Linked DNA regions of Rattus norvegicus. The protein of the gene in region 2 purifies or fractionates together with the protein of the main gene of each other region. This does not show direct contact. Links are inferred from orthologs where the notes say so. Each region holds a gene or a part of one and is shown on either strand. Other genes may lie near its edges.

Evidence for each region.
Region 1: the proteins of Eif4a1 (region 2) and Eif4g3 purify together in Homo sapiens (co-immunoprecipitation; 6 studies listed by BioGRID and IntAct, counting the BioPlex papers as one, with this or other methods). This does not show direct contact. The link is inferred for Rattus norvegicus from reciprocal best matches to the Homo sapiens genes EIF4A1 and EIF4G3.

What each region holds. Positions count from the first base shown.
Region 1 is NC_086023.1:155,474,392-155,490,339, forward strand, and holds the start of Eif4g3 (eukaryotic translation initiation factor 4 gamma 3), read left to right. Parts: upstream 1-6,986; 5' UTR 6,987-7,153; intron 7,154-7,479; coding exon of another isoform or gene 7,480-7,700; intron 7,701-15,948. UniProt on the Homo sapiens protein: Component of the protein complex eIF4F, which is involved in the recognition of the mRNA cap, ATP-dependent unwinding of 5'-terminal secondary structure and recruitment of mRNA to the ribosome. Functional homolog of EIF4G1.
Region 2 is NC_086028.1:54,871,353-54,886,339, reverse strand, and holds the end of Eif4a1 (eukaryotic initiation factor 4A-I), read left to right. Parts: intron 1-265; exon of another isoform or gene 266-408; intron 409-911; coding exon 912-1,080; intron 1,081-1,161; exon of another isoform or gene 1,162-1,303; intron 1,304-1,401; coding exon 1,402-1,511; intron 1,512-1,601; coding exon 1,602-1,745; intron 1,746-1,821; coding exon 1,822-1,959; intron 1,960-2,044; coding exon 2,045-2,134; intron 2,135-2,174; exon of another isoform or gene 2,175-2,317; intron 2,318-2,376; coding exon 2,377-2,456; intron 2,457-2,567; coding exon 2,568-2,712; 3' UTR 2,713-3,247; downstream 3,248-14,987. Other genes in the region: Cd68 (macrosialin precursor), read left to right, coding at 3,947-3,989, 4,072-4,517, 4,649-4,768, 4,901-4,979, 5,093-5,263, 5,486-5,619; Mpdu1 (mannose-P-dolichol utilization defect 1 protein), read left to right, coding at 7,330-7,432, 10,821-10,886, 10,993-11,125, 11,565-11,650, 11,747-11,865, 12,017-12,127, 12,248-12,373; Sox15 (protein SOX-15), read right to left, coding at 12,992-13,121, 13,694-14,220. UniProt on the Homo sapiens protein: ATP-dependent RNA helicase which is a subunit of the eIF4F complex involved in cap recognition and is required for mRNA binding to ribosome.

The DNA.
Region 1 (15,948 bases), on a different chromosome or scaffold from region 2:
AGCCACTGCCACCAGAACATGTTGAAGGCTTTGCCAGACAAGGAAAAAGAAAGTGGGCTCATCTGTCACTTTCGACCAGGGACTCTGTAGCTGGATATTGATGGTCTTGGGGCAAGTGTTATCGGTAACATTTCATCTCTTATCCATGCCAACTTTAGACGGCCGCTTTGCAACTCTCCCCCTCTTCCCCAGTTCACTCTGGTCTCAAAGTTCTATCTCTTTTGTTTCTGGAAGAGCACCAAATCTTAACGTCTTTGTCCCCCTACTCCGTAGTGTGTGTGTGTGTGTGTGTGTGTGTGTGTGTGTGTGTGTGTGTGTGCCCAATCATGCTCTAATTTACTGAGGCAGGCTGTCTCACTGGGTTGACTTCTCTAGGCAGCTTGCCCCATAGATCCCTGGTCTCTACTTGCAAGCATTAGGTTACCAGAAGGCAGCCAGATTCACCCAGCTTCTACCTGGACTTGAACTCCAAGTCCTTCTACAGCAAGTGCTCTCTCATCCACTGAATAATCACCTTCTCTGGTTTGGGGACAGGGTGTCTAGCCTAGGCTATTCTCAGCTTCGTGTCTAGCCTAGGCTATTCTCAGCTTGCTATATAGCCGAGGATGACTTTGAACACCCGAATTTCTTGCCCCCACTTCCTAAGGGCTGGAATTACAAGAGTGTGTCCCAGTATCTAGCTTTGTTTCTTTTTTTTGTTTTTTCTTTTCTTTTTTTTCGGAGCTGGGGACCGAACCCAGGCCTTGGGCTTGCTAGGCAAGCGCTCTACCACTGAGCTAAATCCCCAACCCCGTTTCTTTTTGTTTTTATGAGACAGGGTGTCACATGGCTGGCCTGGAACCCCATGAACACCTGAGGACCACCCTGACCTCCTGATCCTCCTACTCTGGCTCTCAAATCCTGATGGCTTGCTTTTCTTTCCTTTGGGCTCCTATCTCTCTACCCTTTCATTGGATTTAGATCTTGGGCCAGCAAGGTTCACACCAAGCATGCTCTTGGCAAAGGTTGCATGTATCAAAGAGATGAGTTTCATGACACAACCACATAGCCTCTGTGGCTAATAGAGATGGTGTTCTTGGCATTAACATGGCAGGTTTTATGCCAAAAAGCCAGCTCTTCCGGTAAAAACAAACAAACAAAGAAAGGACCATATAGTTCCAGCTTACCAATGTACTTTCAGAAAGGGTTTGTTTTTAAAGACTATATCATCAAGACTCCATGAACCAAGCCCCACAAGCTTTAATTAAGAAATCGCGGGTTGGGGATTTAGCTCAGTGGTAGAGCGCTTGCCTAGGAAGTGCAAGGCTCTGGGTTTGGTCCCCAGCTCCAAAAAAAAAAAAAAAAAAGTTGGTTTTAAGGGGCTGGAGAGATGGCTCAGCGGTTAAGAGCACTGACTGCTCTTCCAGAGGTCCTGAGTTCAAATCCCAGCAACCACATGGTGGCTCACAACTATCTGTAACAGGGATCCGATGCCCTCTTCTGGTGTGTCTGAAGACAGCTACAGTGTACTCATATAAATAAAAATAAGTCTTTAAAAAAAAAAAAAAAGAGTAGTCTTGGATGCTGGTGGGAGTCTGACCCCAGTGTGGGGGAGGGATGGAGACGGGCAGAGCTAGGGGCTTGTTGGTCTGCCAGCCTTTCTGAGATGGCAAGCTCCAAGTTATCAAAAAATAAGTGGGGCTGGAGAGATGGCTCAGCGGTTAAGAGCACCGGACTGCTCTTCCAGAGGTCATGAGTTTAATTCCCAGCAACCACATGGTGGCTCACAACCATCTGTAAAGAGATCTGATGCCCTCTTCTGGTGTATCTGAAGACAGCTACAGTGTACTTATATATAATAAATAAATAAATCTTTAAAAAAAAAAAATAAGTGGAGAGCAATAGAAGGTACCCGATGTTGACCTCTGGCTTCCACATGGACATAGTGGCTTTTACTTGTATACACACACACCAAAAGAGGACAGAAAGTAGTTATGTTAGACATCCTGGCATTTGTGTGTGTGTGTGTGTGTGTGTACAAGTACACATATATGTACATATTCATATACATATACATATGTAGCAGATCTCAGCTACATAGTAATATCACCTCAAAAACAAACAAATTAACAACAACAACCACAAAAGCCACCAACAGAACAAAATACATGGAGAAAAAGGTACCATGTGTATTGGCTGTGGCCTGTGATCCCAATTCCAGCAGGAAGATGATCTTCAATTAGAGGTCAGCCTGGGCCAAAGAAAGGAATTGGCCAGCTTGGACTCACAGAGTGAGACTCTGTTTCAAAAACCAAAAATTGGGGCTGGGGATTTAGCTCAGTGGTAGAGCGCTTACCTAGGAAGCGCAAGGCCCTGGGTTCGGTCCCCAGCCCCGAAAAAAAGAACCAAAAACAAAAAAAACAAAAATTGATGGGGGGGGTGGGGGACTAATTAGAGCTGGGGTTGTATATCCTTGGTAGTTTGCCTTCTATGCACGCACAAGGTCCTGGGTTTACCACAACACAGGGAGGAGAGCAGGAGAGAAAGGAGCAAGAATGAATGCTTCTAGAACAGATGGACTGGACATGGTGGGAGGCTTATAGTCTCATTTACTTGCAAGGTTCAGGCAGAAGGATTGATTGCTGGGGCACAGGAGTTGGAGTTAGAGGGGCAGCCTGGGCAACACAGTGAGAGCCTGTCTCAAAAAAAAAAAAAAAAAAAGAAAGAAGGAAAAAAAGAAAAGAAAAGAAAAAGAAAGAGAAAAAGAAAAAAAGAAAAAAGAAACTTAAAGGGCCCATCTGAACCCAGTACCAGTTCACATTTACTCAGACGGTAATTGCCCTGAGACTATCCATGAGCGTTCTTTCAGCTCATAGGGAATTCAGGGTTTTGGCCCAGGTTGCTGTAGGCTCTGGGTATAGCAGGCAGCCACCCAAAACGACAATGCTCCTCTAGGGCATGAGCTGTGTCTGTTGTAGGATATTCCGGCCCTGTTCTCTATGTGGTGAGGCTGAGCCTGGGCTTGTGTTGTCGGGATTCCTGCGGGGTAACATAAAATCCTCTGGCAATTCACAATTATTAAGTCGTTCGAATTTCATAGCCCATTTGAGTGCTAGCCACATCAGAGGGATTTTTAAAGGACAATGAAATGTCTCTGCGGAAGTGAATCATAATGGGTAAAGCATACCAAAAAATTACTGCATGCCAGGGAATCCCTGGGTAAGTGTTCCCTGTTTATTCCCTAAACCCCGGGAGGTGGGGAGTGCTTTACAGAGGAGGAAAACCTAGGCTCAAGGAGATTAAGAACGTTCTCTAGGGGCTGGAGAGATGGCTCAGTGGTTGGGAGTGTGTGCAGCTTGTGCAGGAGCCCTGAGTTCAATTCCCAGCACTAAGGTCAGGTGGCTTCACAAAAGCCTGTTAACTCCAGCACCTTGATGTAGCTCCTTCTGGTCTCTGCGGGGGGGCCCCAGCATTCGTATGCACGTACCTTCCCCCATCCCTTCCAATTCCATAAAAGTAGAGCCTTTCATGACTACTGTGAATCCCTTCCCCTACTCTCAAATGGCCTCAAGATTTAGCCTAAATCTAAGATCTTTCATAAACCAGTCTCCTCTTTTTTCCCTTTCTCTCCCTCCCTCCCCCTTTTGAGACAGGGTTTCTCTGTTTTAGCTCCGGCTTTCTTGGAACTCACTATGTAGACCAGGGTGATCTCAAACTCACAGAGATCCACCTGTCTCTTGTGGGATTAAAGGCATGCAACACTATGGTCTGGCTCTGGGACTCTTTTAACCTTAGCAGCCTCCTTAATCTCTTGGCAATGAAGCTCTCATCACTTGGGCCTGCTTCTGTTACCTTCATTCCACGAGTGGGGCCTGGGGAGTCTTAGGCCTGACAGAGGGGGCTTTCACTCATTAAGCTGTTTTGACATCGTCATGGAAAGCTTAGTGAACAAAGAGCTGAGATCAGATTTTTAAATGTTTTTATGTGTATGGGTGTTTTACCTATTATCTGTGTATGTATGAATCTAGTTCCCAAGGAGACTAGGAGGCGGCGATCTGGAGTTCCAAAGGCGTGAGCTGCCTTGTGGTCTAGGAATTGAACCGGGGTCCTCTTGGAGAACAGCCAGTGTTCATAACCTGTGAGCCTTCTCTTCAGCCCCCAGATCAGATTTTCTTGCCAGGTCTATGTTTGACGATAGGGTTGCTATGCTGAGGGCGAGACGTCTAAAAGGTCCTTTCTCAGGTTGGAAGCCCAGGACTTCCTTTTAGATGTCATACAAATTACCTTTCACGTCCTTGAGGCTTTATTTCTTTATTGGTGAATGAGGTGTAACACACATTTTACAGTGTTGTCAGGGAGTTAACCTCTGAAAAAATGTCTACACATAGTAGGTGTTCAGTGTTAGCTGCTCTGTAGGATGTGGGGGTGTCTAGAAGGGTCGGACTTCCTGTACTCAAATACAAGTGTCAGCAAGCACTCAAACCTCGGCTGCAGGGTCAGTTTTGCAAGAAATGAACAAAGGACAATTGTTCTACCACTGATCTACAGCCCTTGCCCCAAGGTCATGCTTTTGGAAGAATGGAGAGAGCCTGTCTCTATAACTTTGCTCGCCAAGCTCCTCCCACTTTATTGCCTGAGGTCAGAATCTTATCTAGACCTTAATATTATTTTGCCCAGGATCTGTCCTGTTTGAGGTTGATAATGCTCACAAAATGCTTAGCAAAGGCCAGGCGCGCACTAATTGCATGATGCTTGTGGCTATTATTAAGATAAAGAAGGAAGCTAGCTCAGAAAAGAATAGCCATTAGGCAATTATCAATCTGTTATCAGCCTCGAGTAAACAGGGAAGTCAAATCTTTCTGCTGGGAACAGATTTTGATTGGGATAAAGAAAAGCCTGAGATCTCAGAAACCTGAAATGAGACTCTGGGGGCCGAAAGGACCATTTGGCAATCTTTCCTGGACTTAGGCAAGCCTGGAGAGGAGTGGAGAAATCCACACTTAAGTAACCTGGGATAACAAATTTATACGGTGGAGCATGCTGAACTAGGAAATAGCTGTCCTGGTCCAGAGGCGGGAGGAGGCCTTCCTTCTAATGCAGGGCACTGTGGAGGCTCGGACAGCTAGAGGTAGTGGGGAGCAGGCCACGTAGCTTTTATCCTACAGGGAGCACCACATGTAAAGCTTTAGTTAAAAACAAAACAAAACAAAAAAAAGAGGGCCTGGTGGTGAGTGCCTATAATCCCAGTACTTGGAAGGTAGAGAGGCAAGATGGATCAGGAGTTCAAGACCATCCTCAGGCATGTAGAGAGTTGAGGCTAGCCTGGGCTACTTAAGACCCTCCCTCAAAAGACAAGCAAGTGGGCTGGAGAGATGGCTCAGTAGTTAAGAACACTGACTGCTCTTTCAGAGGTTCTGAGTTCAAATCCCAGCAACCACATGGTGGCTGACAGCCATCTGTAATGGGATCTGATGCCCTCTTCTGGTGTGTCTGAAGACAGCGACAGTGTACTTATATACAATAAATAAATAAATCTTTAAAAAACAAAAGCAAGCAAGGCAACACACCCCCAAATACCAACAACCACCTCCCCCACTCCGAAATCCACCAGTGTAGCAGGAGTCAGACACTGATCTTGTGTTTGTGTTCATGTGTATGGAGGCCAGAGGACAACCTCAGGTGTCATTCACCAGAGGGTGCTGTTCACCTTTAATTTGGAGACAGGGTCTCTCATTGGCCTGGAATTCATCAGAGTGGACTGTGGCCAGTGAGCCTCAGGGAACTGTTGGCTTCCACCTCAGGGCTGGGATTGTAAACACCTGCCTCACACCAGACTTTTCCAGAGTAAATTCTGGGGACTGAACTTGGGCCCTCATGTTTGGAAATCAAGAACGCAGGACACTAATTTTACCTCTGTCCATGTTGGTCATGTGTCCTTGGCAAAGACTCCTGTCAGTTTTGAGCCATCTCAAAAAATTATTTTTTTTAAGTAGTGTAGATGACAGTTAAACCTCTTTGGACCCCAGAGTCTTCATTGTAAGAATAGGCGTTTATCTATTTCTTGGGATTATATGAGCTAATAAAGTATTCTGTATCTGCACAGTGCCACATGTCTGTGACTCCTTTTCGGCTAATGTGTACTGGGGACAATATCCCTATGGAGGGGTGCAGGTGGTATGCAAAGTGTGAGTGGGGGTGGGGAGGAGAAGACCTTATCAACAAGTGTTACCCAAGCCAAGGAGAATGAGGAGCAGACTACAGGTTGTAGCCAAAGGCCATCCAGTCTTGAGGAAGGTTGTGGGAAGATATCCATTCTACAGAGCTCAGGGTCAAAGTTTCTGGTAAGGCAGGCCATTTTGCATCGTAGAAGGCAAGGCTCATCCTAGAGAAGGTGGAATCCAGTTTCTGAATCCTCTCCATCCCTTCCCAGCCAGGAACCCTGGGGCAGTCACTTTCTTCTCCGGGCTTCCTCTGCAAAATGGGGCTCCTCGTTCCATTTCGCACTTAGGGCATCTGAGGACGACGTGTCGACATAATGCCCAGGACTTGCGACGTCAAGGGCCGGCGAGTGGCATTTGTTATGTTAATAACTCCTTGCGGCGGGCGGGTTCCTATCTGTCGGTTTGTGCTCTGGCTTAGCGGTTCCCTCCACAGAGACTCGGTTTTTCCGCTCCGCCGCCTCTCGACGTTTGCTTGACAGGTCTCGGCGGACAGCTGCCTCGGGTGCGGTTCTTCGAGGCTGGGCTCTTTCCCTACAGACCTCTCCTCTGGTCTCTACCTCAGCCCGGCACCGAGCCGCGGGGAATCTCAGCGGTCCGGGATCACCGATCTTTGCCGAGAAAGAGTGTCAGCTCCTGCGGCGTTCCCGAACAGCGGCCGAAGACGCTCCCGAGCGCTCCCGAAGAACCCCGGCCGCTCGCAGTCTCCGGAAATAGCCGAGGGAGCTTTCCACCCTCGGTCTGCCGAGTCCTTCCGAAAAGGGCCGAAAAGCTCCGAGCGGCCGTCCTGCCGGACTGCTGGAGGCGGCCGCAGCGCCATGTTGGATGCTCTGCTCGTTGAGTGAAGAAAATCCGTCCGCATCGCCCGAGCCCCGCTACCGAGAAGGGCGCCGCTTCCCCCGGGGAGGGGGACAGAGACCCCCCGCCGCCGGCCCATGAGGATATTGCCGTGAAAGGTCCGGTCTCTCCGCCTCCTGCCCCCGCCGGGTCCGGCCCCCCCCTCCCCGGGGTCGCGTTGTCACGGAGACCGGCAGCCGGTGGTGCTGGCCCGCGGGGCGGCTGCTGCTGCCCGCGGCGGCGGCGGCGGAGGCGGCGGCGGCGGCGGCGGAGGGCGTGTGTGACCGGTCCCGGCCCCCTCCTCCTCCTCCTCCCAGCCTCCCCCCGGCCCCCCGCTCCCGCCGCCTCCCCGGGTCTGCCCCCATCCCGCCCCTCCGCTGCCCCCGGCCCCTGCACCCCGGCGCGCCCGGTCCCGCTCTGGGGGGGTTGGTGGCTTCGCTTTGCCATGAGTTTACCGCAGAAACCGGCTCTGAAATCAGGCTCAGCGGCTGCAGCAGGAACCGGACCCGGCACCGGAGCGGCGGCGGCGGCGGCGGCGGCGGCGGTACCGCCTCCTCACCCGGCGGCGGCGGCGGCGGCAGCGGCGGCGGCGGCAGCGGCAGCAGCGGTAGCGGCGGCCCCTCCTCACCCGAACATCAGGGCCCTCCAGACCCCGGCGCCCCAACAGTATCCTTTTCACCTTCCAGCGGTCCAGAGCGACCCTTGGTGGGAACCTCCTTGCCTGCCGTCATAGCCCAGCAAGGAAAGGGACGGGCAGCCGCTCTGCTCCCGGCTTGAGTCGAGCCTTTGGGGTGCACCGGTGACAGCATTGCTGGGGACCCCGGGACCCTCTGCGGTACCGTGGACACTAGCTCCACCGGGCCGTGCCTCTGCAGCTCTTGTGGATCTGGGGGAACCCTGCCCTTGCTGCTCCCTCCCCTTTATTGGGCAGAATTTGCTGGTGCCTGGGACCAGCCCTGCAGGCAAGGCTTTTTTGATTGTTGGGAGGCCCTGCCTTCTGCAGGGTTCCGTGGCCTCTCTAATTATTATTTAGAATACATAGTAAAGTTTATTGCTAAATTTCCTGTTCGAAACGAATCAGCTCATTCCTGAGGTAAGTTGGGTCTTCAGTCTTCAGTGTGAGTGTAGGAAAAGCACTCCCCCTGGCTAGTGTTTAGTTTTGTTTATATTTTATTTTATTTTTTGAGCAATTAGAGTTGTGTTGTGGCTTGTGGTGGAACCGGCTAAGGAGGAAATGTTACACTGGGCGCTTCCCTGTCTTTGACCTTTTTAAAGGAAGAGGAAGTTAACTCACATTACCCAGCACCCCCAGAAGTCTCACTTCTTCCAAGATGGGTGTTACACTGTACATCTTTTTAAAGGGCTTTAGTAAGTTTGCTCCTTCATAGACTTGATGTCTGGAGGGTACTCGGGCCCTCAAGGATGTGTCTTAGTTTTGAATGTGTCTAATTTCTTGATAGAGAAGTTGGGGCAGCTTTGATTGAAAAATCTTGGTACCTGGTGTTTTAGTCAGTATTAAACTTCAAATTCATGGCTCCCCCATGGAGCTTCAGCAAGGTGGTTGGTGTCCCGTCCCCTTCCCCACTGGGTTCCTCTATGTAGCCCTGGCTGTCCTAGAACTTGCGCTGTAGACTAGGCTGCCCTTGAACTCAGAGACACGCCTGCCTCTGCCTCCCGAATGCTGGGATTAGAGGCATGCGCTACACTACTTGGCAAGCTAAGGTGTTTGTTACCTATCTGAGAAGAACATTTCAGCATTTGCCCCTCCTCCCCACATTCTTGTACTTGTCCAAGAATCCACAAATGATTTTTGGATGTCCCCTGCGCTGTATGGTTCTCGCATTTGACTTTTAAGATGGGAGTGTGTTTGAGCTTGTCTTTTTGTGTAGTTTGATTCTTGCCTGTATCAATTACTTTGAGAAGGGAAAAACGCTTCCCTTCTTGGGTCACCTCAGGTCATTGTTTTCTGTCAAGCGTCCTTTCTGCGTTCTTTACGTATTGTTAGTCCACATCTTAGTGCTTCAGTGCTGTCTGTGTGCTGATTTCATAACGTTCTGACCCTGCACCGTTCTGTTCAGTTCCTCGCTCACGGCTGAGAAAGTTGCACGTTCATGGAAAACCCAGTTACTTCTGACCCACATGCGCAGCTACTGGCCTGTGGAGGAGTAGGTTGGCTGCTCAGCCTGCTTCAGGGTAGAATTGGGTCGCTCCAGTCCGCCTAGCTTGTCTACCTAGCTTCGCTTCATACTTCTTTCACATTCCCTTCTCATTTTAGGGTTGTTTTTCTTGATGGCCTGTGTTCGTAGGTTTCTGTCTCCGGGCCAAGTGAGTTATCTATCCCTTACCTGCCTCTTTAAGCTGTTAGGCTGTTAAACCAGAGGAAGTGCACAGTATGTGCTCTTGACAGAAGAGCAAGTAAGGGATTGCTGTGTTGTTTGTGACAGTGCTTGGCGAAGTTGGTGGCTTCATTGGATACAGAGCGGGGTACTGAGTAGCCCTCGTGTGCTTTTTCTCCTTATACCTCACAGCTGAAGGACTGGAAAAACTTGAAGCTGGTTACAACTTGGAAGTAATGGTTGGAGCTCCACTTAGGTTTTATCTTTTCTGTAAAATAGACGATGCGGTGGGTAATGGGAATACGTTTAAGGCGCTCTTTACAGTAGAGATTATTCTGAACCCTTCATGGCAATGTCGGCGCCAACCATGTTGCTTTAAGGTTCTGTTTTGCCTCATGTCATGGCGGCTGACATTTTATACTTGATGTAGTCTGTGATTCCTGCTTTATTCCTGGCAAGATGACACTGCTGAATAAGCATCTGACTAGATAGTAAAGGAAGTGTAGGCTAGAGCCACCTCAGAACACAGCCGTGGTAAAATGTCGTCACCTGGTAACGGAAGAGGTCAGAAATGCAGTAGAGCATTGTGCTTTTCAAACTGGAGGGGATGTGGGAATTCGGGCTTGGTGCAGATGCAGTCGTGCAGTAAGATGGTGCCGTAGAAGCCCTTGGGGCTGGAGTCGGCTCTTTCCATGCCTTCCAGCATGTGGTGGAGTTGCTGCAAGTGAGTTAGTAAGCAGTGCACTAGAAAGTGTGTTGGAAGGAGTCGGCTGGCCGGTGTCCTTCATCCGTGCTGAGTGTTCAAGTGTGAGTGGAAATGAAGGGAAGTGTTGAAAACACGGGATTTGAGGGGAAGCCTGAAGCTGGAAGCAGGCATCAGTGTTGAACTGCAGGACCCTTGAGACCACTTGAAGGAGAAATGGCCACATTGACTTCAAAGAGTCAATGGATGTTTGCTAGCAGAGCGAGCGAGGTATGGGATGGCAGGCCCGGAAGGAGAAAAAAACACCCTAACACGAACAGTACTCAGAGCAAGGAGAACATGCTGCGAGTGTCCCTCACAGACACTGGAAGCTTCTGCTTGGTGAGACCGCAGCTTGGGAATGTTTGTCTTGTGTCTTGATGTGCTCAACTGAGCTTCCCCGTTGAGGTTGAGGTGGCTCTGATGAGAATCTTTTTTTTTTTTTTTTTTTTTAAAGATTTATTTATTTATTTGAGTGCACTGTAGCTGTCTTCAGACACACCAGAAGAGGGCAGCAGATCTCATTACAGATGGTTGTGAGCCACCATGTGGTTGCTGGGAATTGAACTCATGACCTCTGGAAGAGCAGTCAGTGCTCTTAACCGCTGAGCCATCTCTCCAGCCCTCTGATGAGAATCTTAACGATGGTCATCCTTTTTCTGGCTGACAGAATAACTAACATTTTGATCAAAAACCAGTCATGCTTAAGTTCTTCAGGGGGTTACTGGGTCCCCCATTAAAATCCCAGCTCTTTAGATTTGAGACTGCCTGCCCACGTTTCAGAAAATTCTGGATAAATGAACTCGAGTTAGGTGCGCATTTGAGCAGAAGTATTTTCTGTATGTTAGGAATACAGTATCTGTCCGTCTGTGTCGGAGGCTGAGGCTGTGATTCAGGGAATCTTCTTTCTTATTTAGGGGCAGCCAGTTAAGCCAGTGAGACACAGTAGTTTCTTTCCAGGAACAGAACTAGGTAGAGACCGGTGTCAACCAGAAGAGGACTTGTGTCTCTGGCTTCTTTGTCATAAGTGTTCTTTCTATCTTTGCAATATTCCTATTTCTTTTTTTAATCGTCTCTCCCCTGGACATTAAGTTGGCCTTAGCTGGTGAAGTGTGTGATGTTCCGCTCTGATAGCGAGGTCTGGATAATAACACCCATTTTCAGTACCTGCTGCTGTAGAGGTCGTACATGCAGCATTCTATTTAAGTTTTCCGAGACTTCTAATGAGGTAGGTGTCTGTTTTACAGACAGGGGTACTGATAAGCAGAGAAGTTAATTTCCCGGGTCACCTGTGCCAGTGAAGGGTGGTGTGTGAGCAGACTAGTGGCCTGTGGTGGCCTTCTTACTTGGCTGGGTGAGCAGCCTGTGTGTGGGCCTGGGAGGAAGTGTCAGTACTCCGCTGCATCCGAGAGAAGCCGTGCTGAGGAATGTAGAACACAGCCATGGTCTAGGGTTTTAAGTTGTTCACAACAGCATACTGCTAGACAAATAGGCTATCTTCCCCCACTGAGCCTTAACAGCATGGAGGTCCTCCAGTGGACTTAGTTCATGGTTCTGCTTGTTCACGAGTCAGCAAGGCCTCCAGCAGAGGGTCACGGTAGCCAGCAGTTGGAATTCTGAGGCTCTTGTGGCCAGCAGCTCCGAAGCCACTCTGTCAAGAAAAGTGTCAAGTCTTCAGAGGCAGAAGCAGGCAGATCTAGAGTTGAAGACCAGTCAGGCCACACAGTGAGACCCTGTCTCAAACCAAGCCAAACCAAACATTTTTGAAGGCAAATCCTCATGGAGGGAGAAAAGAGATGGCAAAGTGGTAATGAAGAGGGAGAGCCCTCCCAGGTGCCTAGTCAGAGCACATCTGCTGCCTCCAGCCAGTTGACTGGCCACGGATGGGTGGGTTTGGTCACCTGAGAGTTGAAGCTTGTCACAGGTTGCTTTTCTATATTGAGGTTTATGATGAATCTTGAGGGCGATTCTTTAACAAGTTTGACAGCATCTTTTACACGCAGTGGAGAGAATGGCTCCGGTGTGTGTTTACAGATTTATTTGTATTCATTTACTTACCACCTGCTGTGCCTGGTTGCTAGGTGTAGGGTTGAGATAACCTTTACCCTCAGAGAGATTGGTCCCAACAGGCAAGTAGGATACGATCGAGATAAGACTTGGTGACCACTCTGCTGTGAGTCCGGTGTGCAGACAGGAGTCAGGGCTTCCTGGAGGGAGTTAACATCTGAGCAAGGTAGAACCATGAGTTGTCAAAGGATTCTTATTCTCCTGCTCGAACTGTCCTCTCTGAGGCTTACTGCCTGCGTCTGCCAACCTAGGCCTAGTCCTGGAAGCTTCTCGCCTCTGTACAATCTTATCTAGGCCTAGAATGTTGTCAGCCACTACCCTTGTTGACTAAGCTCACCCTTTCTAGTTCTTTATGAGCTGAGGCTGACTGGTTCAGCTCAGCTGTCTTGGCTCAAAACTCCTCTCCACGCTGACTAATTCAATCTTGCTGCTTTCTCTCTTGGCCACTTCTGAATTAGTTTGACCTCTAACTCTGTCAGTCTGTCTGATCTTCTGACTCCTCATTCTCTGGCTCATTTTGTCTTCACTTGTGTCTAGCTTGATCTCTCTCTAACCTCTCTCTGTAAAACTGTCCTGATAAAACTGCCTCCTTCCCCCTCTCTACATTGTTCTCTTAGTAGCTTCCTTCTCTCCTCTCTTCTGAGGGTTGGGCAGATCCTTTTCTGTCAAATCTTTCTCTGATTCATCACTTTATCTGCCACTCAATTAGACATCATTTTTTAACATGACTGCTTCTTTCTACAAACTAACTTTACCTTCATTGTTTGGGATTAAAGGTGTGTGCTAAGGGCTGAACCACACCATAGCAAGAAAGTCCCCCCACCCCCCCACACTAAACTCTGGGTTCACAGAATGATTAAGAGTCCTGCAGCAATGAGTAATTCCTGTTCTGGAGCTGCCCCGCCAGCTGGGCTTTACTCTTACGCCTGCCTCTCCCCTGTTGTGGGGAACTGGAGGAAGTACTGTAGACAATGTAGTTGTTACAGAGTCAAGAGTGTTTTGTACCTGATGGGATGGGCATGTGTGCCCACCCCCCCTTAACCCTAGAAGCCCATTTTCCTTTTGGGGTGCCTAAGAGCGCTGGTTGTCCCTGTTTGGAGCCTGGATGTGGTCCTAGCACTCCTGGAGGCTCACAGCTGTCTGTAGCTTCAGTTCCGGGGATCCGTGCTGTCTCCTGACCTCCACAGGCACACCCATGGTATGGTGCACAGTACACATAAAATAATAAAAGAAATAAATCTAAAATCTCTACAAAAGGCCGTTGACCTTTTGATAATAGACTTTGACTTTGAAATAATTTCTTTTAACCTTAAAAGACCAGATGGAGCTTGATAACATTCAGCAGTGCTGGGTGTGAATTAGGCAGGGTTTGTGTTCGCTCTCACTAATTGAGTTAGTGTTGAGTCAGGGTCTTGTGTGGTCGGCCTTAAAGTCTGTCACTTGGGGTTGACCTTGAGCTTCCTGGACTTCTGGTTCTCCTGGGTCTTTCTCCGGGTTTTCCACTGTAATAGGAGTGTTATATTGGGTTGGTCACATTGAGTTCCACGGAGCATCTGTGTTGCTTTTCTCCAGCGAAGGGGTCAGTGATCTTGAATCCCAAGGGTTTGGGATTTTGAAGATGTGCTTTGAGGTGTGTTTTGCTATTGCAGGTATAGGGTGGGGCTTAACTGGATCAGTTAATGATATCTGTGTGTGTCTGGTGGCAGCTTTTTGGTCTTCCTAGAATGCTAATGTGGAACCACAGGAAGAGGCTTGCTGGCTGGGGCTTCCCACCAGACTTAGCCTGAGACCCAAGTGTCTCTGCGGTTCATGTTCTAGACTGTATAAAGTTGGTTGTGATGGTTTGAGAGTGGAAAGTTGCCATGGTCAGTGACAACTGGGTGTCAAGTGATGGGCTTAGCTCTGAGGCATGAGGGAGAATGGGTTCTGGAATAAACTGTTGTGTGGGACCTGTTTTTCTGTAGGGATGGGATTTTGAGATAATGCAGTAAGAAAGGATTTCCTGATGGTTAGTCCTGCAGACTACTTCAGCAGAGCTGAAGCACCGCCGAGATTGTGTGGGTGAAATGCCGCAGGGTCTCATGCGACTTCTGCGTTCTCAGATGACTTCCAGTTCTTTGGCTTGCTGCCACCCAGGAGAAGCATTTCACTCTCTGTAGCCTCAGCTGAAATTGGAGACAGTTCAGTCTATTTTAAGTGCGTTTGAAACTCGTCAGGTTTTACGACCTTTATTAACTAGTAGCTTCTTTGTGTTTTTTGAGCCCTGCGTGCTTCCTGACTCTGAGGATGCGAGAATGTAAGCGCCACAGAAGCAGGTGTGCTGTGTGTCCTGTTGGCGGTGGCTTGCCAGGACCGAGGCTAGTGCTTAGTTTTAGGGATACTGCGCATGGCATCTTAACTCACTTTCAGCATTCAGGGATGCCCTGCAATTGTCTTGTACTGATATATGATTAAATAGGAAGTCTGTGATTTCCTTTGAGATAGAATAGTGTTGACCCAGTTTATAAAACTGAAGTGGCTAAGTTGGGTTTGAGGGTTAGATAATGGGGGTGAGGCCTGGGGTGTCACGGAAGCAACAGGACCAACATCTGTAGTTAGATTCAAAACAGGTTTATCATACTCAAGTAACATTAGGAGATTACTATGGAGACCAGGCTGGCCTTGAACTTATAGAGAGCTGCTGCCTCTGCCTCTGCCACTCAGGTGCTGGGATGAAATGCATTGTCAGTGTGCCTGGCTTTAGTAGGAAATATAAAAAAAGAAAAAAAAAAAAAGAACTACATATATGTGTCCTCTCACGTGATCTTGTAAACCCTCCGCACTGTGATGTTAGACTTCACTTGGAATCCCTTCCTGCCAGTCCCTAAGCAAGGTTGGGATTCAGAAGGGTTTGGGCTGGGTCGGCGTCTCCTTTAGCCTTTAGTGCTGGTGTTCCTTTGTGGGCCACCTCCCCTGGCTTCTAGGGGGGATTTCGTGGAGGATGGCCACTGAGCCACTCTCCCTGGCTCTTGTATTCTCTTAATATACTTGTTTCGGGTTGCATTCCTGTCCGAACACGAGAACAGCTAACTGTGTGCTGACCTGAGCTAATTTCAGTGATCTCAGATTCGGTTAGGTTTTTGGAAAATAAGGCCATGTTATCTACAGTTTTATATTTTTTCTTTCTTCGTACTATTTATTTTTGTTTGTTGTTTGTTTTTCGAGACAAGGTCTCACTGTGTAGCCCTGGCTGCCCTGAACTCAGTCTGTACCAGTCTGGCTCAAATAGACCCGCCTGCTGCCTCCACCCAAGGGCTGGGGCTAAAGGTATGCGCCACCACTTGGGCTTTCTTTCTTGGCATTTCTGAAATGGGATTTTGATATGTAGTCTATAGGTTATTGGCTTCAAACTCATGGTGATCCTCCTGCCCCAATCTCTCCCCACCATGACCCTCTCCTCACCATGACCCTCTCCCCACCATGACCCTCTCCTTGATGTCATAATTTGGTTTCAGGAAGTGCTAATGATACGGGAAGATTTACAAGAGATCTGACGGGTTAGGGAAGCAGAGCTGAGGTGGAGACAGAGGAGTTAGGAGTGACGGGGTAAAAGTAGATGGAAGGAGAAAATTACTCAGCTGTAAACCGTTGAGAATGGACCTTTGAGGGTAGAAGGAAGTCCTGTTAGAAAGGCTGAGGCACCGCTTGGCTTCTTTCTAGGCTTTACTAGGCTTGGAAAACGAAATAGAAGAAACTCGAGGGCTGACTGGATGTGGGGGAAGGTGGGGTC
Region 2 (14,987 bases):
AACTAGTTCCAGGACAGCCAACACTTAGAGAAAGCTTGTCTTAAAGAGACAATTAGAAGATCAGGTCAGGTACGCTCTTGTATGCCACTGGGATTTGTTGACAGCTTCTAGATCTATTGAGATTGGTTTGCCTAATTACTAACAACTTTTCTACCAGGAAAAAAAAGCACTTTAAATCCATTTTCTGAGTCAAATAAGGAAGGGAAGAGTATTGTTAGAATCTAGCTGGCTGGGCAGGTTAAACTGTGTTTACAACAAACATACCACCCCCTGGACATGGGCAAGGAGACACCATGTTGGTGGTGTTGTTCCTATATCAGTCAGGGGCAGAGCAGATGTAGGCCTTTGTTCATCCTAGCTTGATGCCTGGCTTGGTGGCCAAAGCTGTTTCATGCCTAGGGCACATGAAATCCTGGTGCTAGTCTGTTAACTACTATTTCAAGCCTAGTGATCACTGAAGCAAGCATCTGGGTAGCAATGTAAGCAAGACGTGATAAGAGGATTGACACCTTAGAACCCTGTAGATCTACTTATTTTGGGGGTTTGCTTATGAGCTCAGCATGGATCACTAAGTCTTGGTTCTGTAGCAGGGATGGAATAATCACCTTGTGGGTATAGATAGGGCTGTGTTCATAATCTCAGCCTTTGGAATGGAGTAGTAGGATGTAGTGTGAGTTGTTTGTAGAGCTGGCCTGGTTTTTATGAGGCTGCATGTAGAGTGGGAAACTTACTGTGAACCTGTGTGGACGGATCCAGCATTGCCATTTGGTGGCGGTATTGGTGGTGTTGGAAGAGGATTAAGTGGATTCCTGTTTCTCAGTTGCTAAGAGTGGGATAATTCCTGTCTGTAATAAGAAAGACTTAACTCACTGGTACTGCCCAAGTTAATGTAGATGCCTTTCTACATTTAGATTCAAAAGGTGGTTATGGCACTGGGAGACTACATGGGTGCCTCTTGTCATGCCTGTATTGGGGGCACCAACGTGCGTGCTGAGGTGCAGAAGCTGCAAATGGAAGCTCCCCATATCATCGTGGGCACCCCTGGCCGGGTGTTCGATATGCTTAACCGGAGATACCTGTGTGAGTGCCATGGAACAGTTGTTGGGCTCTTTTCTACATTTCATTTCCTTGGATGAGTTTTCCTTTAGTTGGAATTGAGTTGCTCTGTGATGAACCCCATGCGTGTCATCTGAGCCTGGCTTCCCTGTTAACCTTAGCCCAGGTAGTGTTCTACTTACCAGGGCTTTTGCATGACCTATCAGGGAAGCCGAGGGCAAAGGATCAGTCCTTGCATTCTGAGAGCAGACTGTCTGCCTTCTGCCTGCCTTATCAAGAGACCTCAATATATTTCACATTTGTCTGATTACTATATGTTGGGGTTTTTTTTTTCCTGCCATCTAGCACCCAAATACATCAAGATGTTCGTCCTGGATGAAGCAGATGAAATGCTAAGCCGTGGGTTCAAGGATCAGATCTATGATATATTCCAAAAGCTCAACAGCAACACACAGGTAAAACAGATGGTGTTGGAGGGACGGTGGCTCGGTTGTGATTTGATTGTACAGTGCACTCAATCATGGCTGGGGCATTTTTCCCACTAGGTAGTTTTGCTGTCTGCCACAATGCCTTCTGATGTCCTTGAGGTGACTAAGAAGTTCATGAGAGACCCTATTCGGATTCTTGTCAAGAAGGAAGAGTTGACCCTGGAGGGTATCCGCCAATTCTACATCAATGTGGAACGAGAGGTGGGGCCCAGTGCAGGAGGCGGGCCTGGTAATAAGTGTTGGGTATAGCTCCTGATTGATGTTTCCTGATCTCCAGGAGTGGAAGCTCGACACATTGTGTGACTTGTATGAAACACTGACCATCACCCAGGCAGTAATCTTTATTAATACCAGAAGGAAGGTGGACTGGCTCACTGAGAAGATGCATGCCCGGGATTTCACAGTTTCTGCCATGGTGAGTTTTCTCAGTCTTGTTAATGATAGATGTGTCTTTGTGTGTTAGGAGCCTTATGCTAGCTGCTCCTAACCTTGTTTTCCAGCATGGAGATATGGACCAAAAGGAACGAGACGTGATCATGAGGGAGTTCCGGTCTGGCTCTAGCAGAGTATTAATTACCACTGACCTGTTGGTGAGTAGATGCTCTTTTAAGGAAAGAAAGGGAGAAAATAGCCCAAGGTGATTCCCTCTCCAAAGGGCTGACTATGTGCCCTTTTTAGGAACGTAGCAACTTGGAAGAAAGCCAGGCATGTCCAAGGTCTCTGGGGAACAAGGAATACTTGTTTCCTTTGCCCTCCTTTGGCAGCCTACATATATGCTTACTAAATTAGGGTTGATAGTGTCCTCTGATGGCTTTATTCTTTCTTGACCTAGGCCAGAGGCATTGATGTGCAGCAGGTCTCCCTAGTCATCAATTATGACCTTCCCACCAACAGGGAAAACTACATCCACAGGTATTTACCTGGTCTGACAGATCAAACACTCCCTGTGCTTAAAAAAAAAAAAACACGTTCCTTTCCCCAACCTAACGCCTTTTTAAACTAACCTCCCCCCCCCCCCCCCAGAATTGGTCGAGGTGGTCGGTTTGGCCGGAAAGGTGTGGCTATTAACATGGTGACAGAAGAAGACAAGAGGACTCTTCGAGACATTGAGACTTTCTACAACACCTCCATTGAAGAGATGCCCCTCAACGTTGCTGACCTCATTTGAGGGGCTGTCCTGCTACCTGGCCCTAGCCCAGGGTTCAGTCCTGGGGGCAGGGCTGAGGAACAGCTGGAGGGGGGAGGGAAGGGAGCCAAGGGATGGACATCTTGTTTTTGTTTTTTTGTTTTGTTTTTTTTTTCTCTCTCTCTCTCTCTTTGAATAAATGTCACTTTTTGAGGCAAAAAGAAGGAACCGTGAACATTTTAGACACCCTTTTCTTTGGGGTAGGCTCTGCCCCAGGCGCCGTCTCCTTCCCCCCCAAACACTAATGCATTTCCCTAACCTAATCACCTCATTCCTAAAGGCTTTCCTACCCCAGCCAAATCTCCAAAAGTGAGTCAAGGGGCTAAAACATGGCTGGCCTCATTTGCTGGACCAAATCTACAGGGAGAACCCCCTGAATGAGGTTGTCCAGGGACTTGTCCCCAGGTGAGGGGAGCAGGGGAGAGAAAATGGTAGCCATTTTTACATTGTTTTGTATAGTATTTATTGATTCAGGAAACAAACACAAAATTCTGAATAAAATTACTTGGAAACTGCCTGTTTGGGCTTCTTGTTTCTTCCCTTCCCTCTCCTGCAGTTACTAGTGTGGTTCAGCTGCCCCTGCACTAGTTCTTTCCTGAATTTGCCATGTTGCTTCCTGAAATACCAAATGACCCACACTACTGAAATTTGGTAGTGGGCTTTAGCACAAGACACAAGTGTCACTTGCTCCCAGTTTTGAAAAAGTAGTAATGGGTTCAAAGACTTCAACTGGGTGTTAGTCATAACCCAAATGTGGGTGCTAATTACCTTGGGTTCTGTAGCCCTTGCTGTCCTGCGGTTATATAGGCCAAACTGGCCTTTTGGGTCTGCTTGCTGCCTTACAGTGCTGGGATTGAAGCACATGGGTGAGGGTGAATTTCTTACCAATGAGGAAAAGGCTTCCTGTTTGCCTGCTTTGTAAACTGCCAAGTAGAGCAAGTTTTGGCTTAGGTAAGTTCCGTGTGAGTCAACTGCCTCATCCTCACATGGTAACTAAGACTACCGCCCACTGAGAAGGCCACTACCAATCAGTGCTTAATTGTGAAAACATTTAAATTACTTTAGCGGGTGGCTAGAGCTGAGGTGCCTGAGTCAGGTTTGGGGTGGGATTACTTTGGTTAAGGGAAGTAAGAGTTTTCATTTCCTCTTCCAAGAGAAGAGGGGATTGGGTTGAGGAAGGAGCTGTTACAGCCTAGCTGGACTCAGCAGCTCTACCATGAGGTTCCCTGTGTGTCTGACCTTGCTGGTACTGCTTGTAGGTAAGGAGAATGGGAGGTGGGAGAGAGGGAGCTCCTGGGCAGGAGCCGGCACCTGGGTTATCAACTAATCTCTTAATGAAAGCCCAAGGAACAGGGAAAGACTGTCCTCACAAAAAGGCTGCTACTCTTCTGCCATCCTTCACGGAGACACCTACAACCACCGGAAGCACAGCAAGCCCTACGACCACCCACAGGCCCACCACAACCAGCCACAGGCCCACCACAACCAGCCACAGGCCCACCACCACCAGCCACAGGCCCACCACCACCAGCCACAGGCCCACCACCACCAGCCACAGGCCCACCACCACCAGTCATGGGAATGCCACAGTTTCTCCCACCACAAACAGTCCAGGCTTCTCCACTGTTGGCCCTCACCCTGGACCACCTCCGCCCTCACCAAGTCCTAGTCCAAGCTCTACTGGGGCTCTTGGAAACTACACATGGACTAATGGTTCCCAGCCATGTGTTCAGCTCCAAGCCCAAATTCAAATTCGCATCTTGTACCTGACCCAGGGTGGAAAAAAGGTAAAGTAGTAGGGCTTAAAGAAGGCCAGAGGCAAGCCCTGGGCTGGTTCAGAAGGGAGGAGGAAGAGCAGAAGGGATAAACTGGGTGCCATTCATGTGACTTCAGACCCACTATTCTTTCACTTCTGCAGGCCTGGGGCCTCTCTGTATTGAACCCGAACAAAACCAAGGTCCAGGGGGGCTGTGACAGTGCCCATCCCCACTTGGCTCTCTCATTCCCTTACGGACAGCTTACCTTTGGATTCAAACAGGTATACAGCTTGAATTTGTCTTCCTCCTTCACTCTTCTATATCCCACCCCTAGACCCCCTAAGCCTCCTCCTTGCTCTATGGACATGGATGCCACTGTCCCTGATGCCTTGAGCCTTTCTGTTCACCTCAAGGACCGACATCAGAGCCACAGTACAGTCTACCTTAACTACATGGCAGTGGAATACAATGTGTCCTTCCCACAAGCAGCACGTGAGCAACCTCTTCTCTTTACCACACTAAAAGTCTACACTGGAAGTGCTGGGGTGGTGGTGGGGACTCAGGAATCAGGACTAGATTTGAATCTTAATTACTAATTACTTTAGAGTGGACATTCTCAGCGCAGAATTCATCTCTTCAAGAGCTCCAAGCTCCCCTGGGCCAAAGCTTCTGTTGCGGAAATACAAGCATAGTTCTTTCTCCAGCAATTCACCTGGACCTGCTCTCCCTGAGGCTGCAGGCTGCTCAGTTGCCGGACAAGGGACACTTCGGGCCATGTAAGCTTGAAGTTTCCCATTGCACTGGAAACCTTCCCCAGAACTTTTTCTAAACCTCAGTCTCCTCTACAAAGCTGCCTATTTCCCCTTTCCTTATGCTCCAAACTATGGGGTTGAATTCCTCAACCTTTCTCCCTCCCACTTAACTCTTCTGTCCTTCCCGCCCACCTTTAGCCCATGCACCACTGCAGCGGTTCTCACTGACCCTGTTTTTTCTGCCAGGCTTCTCTTGCGCCAGTGACCAATCTCTCTTGCTGCCTCTCATCATTGGCCTGGTCCTCCTGGGCCTCCTCACCCTGGTGCTCATTGCCTTCTGCGTTACCCGGAGACGACAATCAACCTACCAGCCCCTCTGAGCATTTGCTCCAGTCCACTCTGTAGGCCACCAAGGAGCATCCTCATTTCTTCAGCATGCAATTGACTCAACAGAGTTATCTCCCTTCTCTGTCTTTAAGAACAAAATTAAGAGATTTTTATAATAGGGGTGGGGAATTAATAAACATGCATGGTACGCACTCCTGTTCTCATGAAGAGTAGAAAAACTTAATGAAATCTTTGCCCTTGGCTTCCTTTGTCCTGCCAGGATCATGTGCTTTCCTGTGCCTTTCCATGATTGAGTCACCAAGGGACAGCTGGCAAGAAGGGACAAAAATACCAAAGAGTGACCAAATGCCTTCATGGGTTCATTTCTTAATGTCCTGCAGCTGCTGGTGAAACTACTAAAACTCCCGCCTCCCTCTGGCTGCCTGTTCCCTTAACATAATGAATCATTCCATCTTAACATCCTCTTGCTGACCCTTGTGCGCAGTTAGAGGTACAACGCAACCAAAATGTGAGTAGGTGGCTGTATTATTTTATTTCAAAAGTGGCTACTGAACAATGAGATTCCATGTCCACTGTGCCAGGGCTAGCTCACTGAGGAGCCCACTAGTGCAGCAGACACTCTGACTTCTATGAAGGTTGTGCTTCTAGGAACAACTTTAGGCCTGGCCAACAAATGCTTGATCCCTGAGTAGCAGAAGGAGAGGAAGTGATGCCATCTGCAATCTGCCCTTGTCCAGATTCTAAAAAGATATTTTCAGATGGCTAACCACGGCACCAAAAACGTATAAATTCTGTTTATAGTAGGGCATGGTACAAGGATAGGAGCCAAGCATGGGTGCCCTTCCAATTTTACCAGTGCCATGAGGTTACAGAAATCCCTGGACTAGCGCTCCACCCAGCAGAGGTACATGTGGCAATCCTCCCTGCCCAGCAACTACCCCCAAGAACAAGGAACGGGGAAACAGTTTGGGAGTGCCTGATAGCCAAGCGTAGATTCATTAGGATAGTAAACGTAGTAGGTAGGTGTCTTGGCAAGAGTGTTGGAATGTAGCGTGGCTCTCTTCGCCTAACCCTTGGGGCCCTTTCCCAGATAAATATAAATTTTTGCTCGCATCCTCTGGGTTCCCACCTAGACACAGAAGAGGCTCTGCGTCCCCGTCCCACACCCCACGTTGTGTCAGGGGCTGCTATATCCTGCCGGTGAGCTCGCCCCTCTTCTGCTTCATTGTCATCTTAACATCTGGACAGAGGAAGAGGGAGGATACTAGAAGGAAGGCCCAGCTCAGAATGGCCTTTCCGGCTCTATGCTATTTACCAAGAGAAGATAGGAGAACTGCAGCGCCTTCACTAGCGCCATTTTGAAGACTTGAACTCTTTTCCTTTCCAACTTCAAACAGTATAAAGTTGGCAGAGAAAAGACAAGATGGCGCACACACAAGAGGGACAGAGAAAGAGGGAGAAATAAACCTTGCTTTCAGAACCCAGAGCGTAAACAAAAGTGCGGAAGTTCTAACTGCGCAGGCGTAAAACTCTGACATGCTTTAAAATTCGAACATCAAGGCGCGTACAAAACCTAGTCTGTGAAGAACTGTCTCAGCCTACTGAAGCTAGCAAGGGTCCTGTAGGAAAGGGAAGTGCAGCCCGGTCCCGGGGAGGAGGCGGAGTATACGCATACGCAGTGCGCATGCGCGGCGCAGGTCAATGGCGGGGTTATCCGGACTGGCGGAAGCTACCTTTCCAACATGGCGGGCGAGACTGACGGACCGTTCAAAGGGGTGCTGGTACCAATTCTTTTACCTGAGAAATGCTATGATCAATTCTTCGTCCACTGGGACTTGCTTCATGGTGAGTTTTATTCAGCCTTCAAAGTCTAGTTCGAGCAATCTTGGACCTAAGTTAGCGTGACAGTGCCGATTAATGTCACGCGAAGCTGGGCAGAAGGCGCTTCTGAAGAGGGCGGAAGTGTTTTGGACCCTGCATAGGAAAAGTGCCATATTTGGGCATGAGGGGGTGTCGCCCGAAAAAAATAGTTAAATTTGTGTTTTACAATCTGGGAAGTCGGTACCCCGCCCTCATCCCTTTCTGGACCGGGGATGGAACTCAGGGCCTCTTGCGCCACACTGCTAACTAGGCTCTATCCCCAGACTTGAAAACTCACTTTTTATAAAACAAAATTAAAATCCCAGCCAGGCATATAGACCTCCTTTCAGTCCCAAGCACTCAACTACAGAGGCCCATGAATCCCCACCCCGACCCCTCCACCCCCGCCCAGCACCAACTTCTGGAATGTGTTATGTGGCACAGACTGGCAGCAGTCCTCCTGCCTCAGCCACCAGAATGCTGGGAGTATAGCAGCACTTTACTTTCCTTTTCCCTTTCTTTACAAGGCAAGTTCATTGCCAAATATCAAAGACTTTGGTAAGCCTTTTCCATCTCTTCTGTTCTAAGTTCATTTTGGCTTACAATAGTAAAGACTTCCTGCTGGGCCAAATGCCCACCAGGTCAAAGATTCCATGATAGGGAAATTGCCAGTATGGGGTTTCAAATGTAGCAGAGCAGCTCCCTCACTGTGATCTATTGAAAGTCAGTTCTCTGTGAGCTGGAGAGATGGCTCAGTGGTTAAGAGCATTGACTGCACTTCCAGAGGTCCTGCGTTCAGTTCCCACAACCACGTGGTGGCTCACAACCATTTATAATGGGATCCAATGCCCTCTTTTCTGGTGTGTCTGAAGACAGCAATAGTGTACTCATGTACATGAAATAAATAAATCTTTTTTTTAAAGATTTATTTATTTTATGTACATGAGTACACCATAGCTGTCTTCAGGCACACCAGAAGAGCACATCAGATCCCATTACAGATGGTTGTGAGCCACCATGTGGTTGCTGGAAATTGAACTCAGTACCTCTAGAAGAACAGTCTGTGCTCATAACCACTGAGCCATCTCTCCAGCCCATAAATAAATCTTTAAAAAGAAAGTCAGCCCTCCACACAGGGGTTTTGGAAAAAAAAGGAAAAAAGAATTAAAAAAAAAAGAGAGAGAAATTGCCAGCAACAGTGGCCCACACTTTCAATCCCAGCACTTGGGACACAGAGGCCGGAGGATCTCTTGAGTTCAAGGACAGTCTGGTCTATAGGGTGAGTTCCAAGACAAAGAAGTAAATGATGGAGATAGTGGAGGAACAGGGAAGAAAGTCCTGGAAGAGTGGGGATGACCTAGAAGGTTCAGGAATGTATGGTATCGGGGGTTTGTGCCTTTGGAAGGAGGAGTATTTGATTTGAAGTTTTACTGACAAGAGAGAAAAGGGTCAGGAACTTCTGAGCAATGCCTGTATAACTAAAAAGCAAGGAAGAGCAGGGAGGCCTGCAAGTTTGCATCCCTACTTGGGACTAGAGGGATGGTTTACAAGGCTGGTGACCTGAATTCAATTCCTGGGAACTACAGAAAGGCAAAAATGGAGAACTGGCTCTACAAAGTTGTCTCTGACCTCTGACCTTCACACATGTGCCTATAGACACACACAAAATAGATTATTCTTATGTATATTTTTATTTTTAGTATTTTTTTAAATTTACTTATTTATTTCATATATGTTGAGTACAGAAGAAAGCATCAGATCCCTTTACAGATGGTTGTTTTTAGTATTTAAATTGTGTGCATACATGTATACCCACACATGAACACAGTTGCCTGGAGATGCCAGAGGCGTGAGATATCTCTAGAGCTACAGTTACAGGTGTTGTGAGCCATCTGACATGGATGCTAAAATTTGAATTCAGGGGGGCTGGAGAGATGGCTCAGTGGTTAGGAGCACTGACTGCTCTTCCAGAGGTCCTGAGTTCAAATCCCAGCAACCACATGGAGGCTCACAACCATCTGTAAGAGATCTGATGCCCTCTTCTGGTGTGTCTGAAGACAGCTACAGTGTACTTATATATAATGAATAAATAAATTTAAAAAAAATTGAATTCAGATCACTGCAAAAGCAGAGACGTGCTCTTAATCACTAAATTACCTTTCCAGCCCCAAATTTTTAAGATGTATTTTTGTTGTGTGTATTCCCTTATGTAGAGACTTAGGTCAACAGAGTTGGGAGCAAAGCCATCTTGTTGGCCCAATAATATTTTTAAAGATTTATTTTTGTTTTATATACATTAGTGTTTTGCCTGAATTTATGAGTGTGTCAGATCCCCTAGAACTGGAGTTAAGAGTTGGGGTTGCTGGGAATTGAACCCAGATCTTCTGGAAGAACAGTCCATACTCCTAAACGCTGGTCTACTGTCTGTCTGTCTATCTTTCTAGCAACAGTTTCTCTGCAAAACGCTAGCTGTCCTGGAACTATGTAGACCAGGCTGGCTTTGAATTCATATAGAGACCTGCCTGCCCTTCCCTCCCAAGTGCTGGGACTAAATGTGTGTGCTACCACACCTGACAATAGTTTTTAAATATTTGAGATAGGGTCTCACTATGTAATTCTAGCTGGCCCTGAACTCAGAGATTCTTTAATCTCTGTACTACAACACACACATCCCTGATGACTTTTAAAAGACATAATTTCTTAGTACATTTTTTTTTTTTTGGTTCTTTTTTTTTTTTTTCCGGAGCTGGGGACCGAACCCAGGGCCTTGCGCTTCCTAGGCAAGCGCTCTACAACTGAGCTAAATCCCCAACCCCTTCTTAGTACATTTTTATTAGGAGTGTATTTTATTATGGGCAATGCATGGAAGTTCCGGAGTTGTCTGTCTCTCCGTCTACCATGTTGATTCTGGATTAAAGAGGGATAAAAGTTAGCTTTCCAGTTACACAGGCACTGCTCAAAAATCTCCTGACCCCACTCTCTCCTCAGTAACCGATGGCCACTTCAGATGCTCCTCCTCCCAAAGGCAAATCCCCACACCATGTATCCCCGAACCTTCTGGACCCTTATGCAGGCAACCACTCTTCCCTTTCATCAGCGTATCTTGTCAACTCTAAGAAATACTTAGCCGTATTTATAGGAAATGGAAGGTTGAACAGGAAGGAAGGCAGTCACGGAGAAGCTGTTGTGAAGATGACACGTCTAGTCTGAATGTTTGTAGCCAGAAGGATGTCTGCCCCACTATATCTCCCGCAGAGACTTACTGGTGCGGTGGTCAAATTAAGGGTGAGGGGAAAAGGGAGCAGCTAAGAGCACTTCAGACCCTCACCTGGGCTCCAGAGGCCTCTTTGCTTACTTTTTTCTCTCTTCTCAGTTCCCTGCCTCAAGATTCTCCTCAGCAAAGGCCTTGGGCTGGGCATCGTGGCTGGGTCACTTCTTGGTATGTATAGTTCCTTCTGTCAGAGTAAAGGGAAGGGGGTTGAGAGGCTGATGCCAAGGAATGGGGATAGTTTGCTTCTTCCTCAGCCATACCACTTTTTCCACAGTAAAGCTCCCCCAGATATTTAAACTCTTGGGAGCCAAGAGTGCAGAAGGACTGAGTCTCCAGTCAGTAATGCTGGAGCTAGTGGCACTGACTGGAACTATGGTCTACAGCATCACCAACAACTTCCCCTTCAGGTGAGAGTCCACTCTAAATGCCCAAAGCCAAATCCCCACAGTTCTTTTATTTATTTACTTTTTTACTATTTACTTGAGATGGGAGGGGGTCACAGAACAACTTGTTGGAGTGGTTCTCTCCTTCCAGCGAGTGTGTGTGTATCCTGGGGCTGGAACTCAGGTAATCAGGCTTGGAGGCAGACATCTTTACCTGCTGAGCTGTTCTCTAGCCCCAGTGACCGAAATTCTAATAAGAGTTCTAATAAGTGCTTCAGCCCTTCCAGAAGTTTACTCACACCCATGAATATGGGATGAAGGGAGCATTCTGAGTGACCGGGTGTGGTGGGGTTGTAGACCGGAAAGTACCGGCTAGTCAGAGAACAGAGTCTGATGGGCGATGGAGGCTTTCCCTGCCTTTTTCCAGGCCTGCCTTTTTCCTTCCCACCTCTTGACTCTGCAGCTCTTGGGGTGAAGCACTGTTCCTGACACTACAGACGGTTACCATCTGCTTCCTGGTCATGCACTACAGAGGAGAGACCGTGAAAGGTGCCGGGGATTGGCTGGAGAGCAGGCATTGTGTCTTGGGGACTTTGCTGGGGACTCAGGAGGCTCAAGAGGGCTCCTTGTCTCCCTGACCCCCAGGAGTTGCTTTCCTTGTCTGCTTTGCCGTGGTCCTGTTGGCGCTGCTTTCCCCAGTCATGCCTCTGGCTGTGCCCACCCTGCTCCAGGCCTCCAATGTACCTGCTGTGGTGGTGGGGAAGGTGGGTACTCAGAAGCAAAGGGATGTGTATGGTAGTGTAGAAGCAGAGGGAAACCTCCAAGTAAGGAGTGCAAGTCTGCGGGGAGTGAGGAAGGGTGATGGGTCACAGAGGAGGTTCAGAGGAGTATCAAAAGTATCAATTTCTCCTCTAGTTGCTCCAGGCAGCCACTAACTACCACAACGGACACACAGGCCAGCTTTCAGCCATTACAGTGTTTATGCTGTTTGGGGGCTCCTTGGCCCGGATCTTCACTTCTGTTCAGGTGAGTGCACCTTCTGCCCTCTAGAGGGCAGTAAAACCTCACTCTCAGCCAAGTGGAGAGGTAAGCTGCCTGCCTGCCAGCCCTGGAACCTTTCTAGATCTGTGCTGTCTCTCATACCAGGAAACTGGAGATCCCCTCATGGCTGGAGTCTTTGTGGTCTCTTCTCTCTGCAATGGCCTTATTGCTGCCCAGGTCCTCTTCTACTGGAATGCGAAGGCTCCCCACAAGCAGAAAAAGCAGCAGTAGAGCTAGCTTCTAGAATAATTCCACCTCCATCCATCTACTCAACTCCCACATGACCCGATCTGCTGGTGCAACTTAATCACCCTCCATCCCGATGTATTTGCCACCTCCTGAGCCTGGGCGGTAGGAATAGTAAAGCCCTGCCCTCACTCACTTCACCAGTTGCCTGGGATCCCTCCTTTTAAGCAGCTGTTTTCTCACGGGAGCAGGTGATTTTGCCCTGTCCACCTTCCTTTTGGACCAAGGACAGAGTTGGGAAATGTGGTTGGAAGCTAGTGACTGCTTCCCTCTGCTGCCCGAGTGGGACGATCTATTGGACCCCAGTTCTGGAGGTGGGGGAGGGGGAGAATGACTCAGATAAGGCCTCAAGGCTGGGCGAGGAGGGTCCTGCTGTGGCAGGTCCTGGCGGAAGGGTGTGTGGAGAAGGCGGCACTGGTTGCCACTGTAGGAAGAGAATACAGATAGGACAATAAAAGACTCAAACATGCTTTAATTATACAAAATTGCGCATTCTGGTTCCTAGGGTTCTGAACTGAAAGGGCTGGGTCTTCGGGGTTGTCCCTGATTGTCCGTGCCAGTTAAAGGTGGGTTACTGGCATGGAGGCACCAGCAAGGGAAGTATTATATATATGGAGTGGGAGAGCCTGGAGATGGGTAGTGGGGGAAGGAGGGTATTAGCTCCCCTTGGAGCCTAGGATCACTCTGAGGGACAGTACACGGTGAGGGGGCCTCCGGTCTGCAATGGGAAGAGCTGTAAAGAGAAACATGGGGTTTGGAGGTTACTCCTCTTGGTTGAAGTGATTGGGCAGTGTGTCCCCAACTCTCGGTAGGGGACTGGTCTGACCAGTTTGCCTCAGACAGGGTTAGAGCTTGCTATTCTGCTAGCCTTGCAGGTGCTAGCCTTGCTGGGTACGGCAGGCATGGAATGAGACCCTAGGACGGCTTAAAGAGCAAGGTAGTTCTGTTGGGGCACGCTCAGCAGCCAGCTTGCGTGCTGCACGGCTGTTTACCTCTTGGGGCAGCAGGCCAGGAAGGAGCAACAGGATGGGCTAGGCCTCTCCTTGCCCTTGGGGCTGGGAGAGGAAGCTGGGTCACACAAGGGCCAGCAGCAAGGAGGAAACCAACACCAACATCCCGAAGGTAGAACGGCCTTTATCCTCAACTCTCTTGGCCCTTCTAACCAACCTCAGCCTCGTGTGGCTTCTACTTGGGTGAATTTGGGTTCAACTTGGCACTCTGGCCTCAGCTCCCACCCAGCGGAAGGGGGTTGTGAGGGGGATGGAGGGGAAGGGAACAGATAGACGGACATAATCAGGCACTTACGTGTAACTGCCAGGCATGTAGGCTGTCGAATAGTTGGGGGGCTGGTACCCAAAGCCCCTACTCCCTTGGGTAGTTGTGTACCCCGGCCCCCAGTGTGGGCCTCCACATACCGGGCCACCTCCTCCCTGGCTGAAATGGACCGACCCGGTGCCCGGGTTTTTGCTTTTTCGCCGGGGTCGGTACTTGTAGTCGGGGTAGTCATGGAGGTGGCGGGCACGAAGACGCTTAGCCTCCTCCACGAAGGGTCTCTTCTCTTCATCGTCCAGCAGCTTCCACTGAGCGCCCAAGCGCTTCGAGATCTCAGAATTGTGCATCTTGGGGTTCTGCTGCGCCATCTGGCGGCGCTGAGCAGAGCTCCACACCATGAAGGCGTTCATGGGCCGCTTCACTTTCTCTAGCGGAAGCCCCCCAGACGCTCCAGGGCCTCCGCCAACCTCCTGCTCCTGAGGTCCTAAGGGCAAAGAGGCCGTAGAAACCAGAGAATCCAGGTTCCAAGTCTCTGCTTGTGAGGAGCCGGGCAGCGCCATGGGTTGAAGGTAAAGCCTCTTTGAGAGGGTGTCTTGAATGCCCTTCTCCCAGAGTGAAGACTGGACTCTGAAGAGTTGGGTACTTAAGTATCTTCCAGAGCGCTTGAATCTGAACTTTGCTCCCAGCGATCGATTGTCACCGGGAAGATGAATCCTCCTTGTCTGGCACCCCTTACCGAAGAGGTAGTGTTCTCTCAAGTCTACCAGTCGCGCTTTTCTACCCTCTGCTTCAGTGAGACAGGGATCGTCTGTGGAGACTGCAATCCTTGCTCCGCAGCTCTTGGTCTCCACAAAGTCCCCACAGCTGCCAGGAGCTCACCAGGTGCTGCAGACCTTTCCCACCTGTACTCAGCCTCTAAAAAAGCGTTTAAAGTCTGACTCCACCCCCATCTCTCCCAGTGGCTGTGCGCCCGCTGTCGTTCTCTCCACCCCCCTTCTTTCCGCAAACCCAAGTCTCCTCTTCTTCCCAGTCCCTGCACCTCCCCTGGGGCACCACAACCACAGACACTCCACCCAAGACCTAATAGCCCCAGTGGCTACAATTGTTTCAATTCTCAAGCACCAGCAATTTAAAGCAACTTCTTTCCCAAGATGGGCACCAAAGGCCCTCAGGGTCAACCAAACTGGGAGAAATTAGGAAGATCTCACTACTCAATACCTTTTCCAGTGCATGTTGCTCCTTAAACCCCAGACCTGCCCCAGGGAAAAGAAACTCAAAAGATAGGCCATTTTTGTTTTCTTAAGTCATTCCAGCAGGTGCCTGGGCC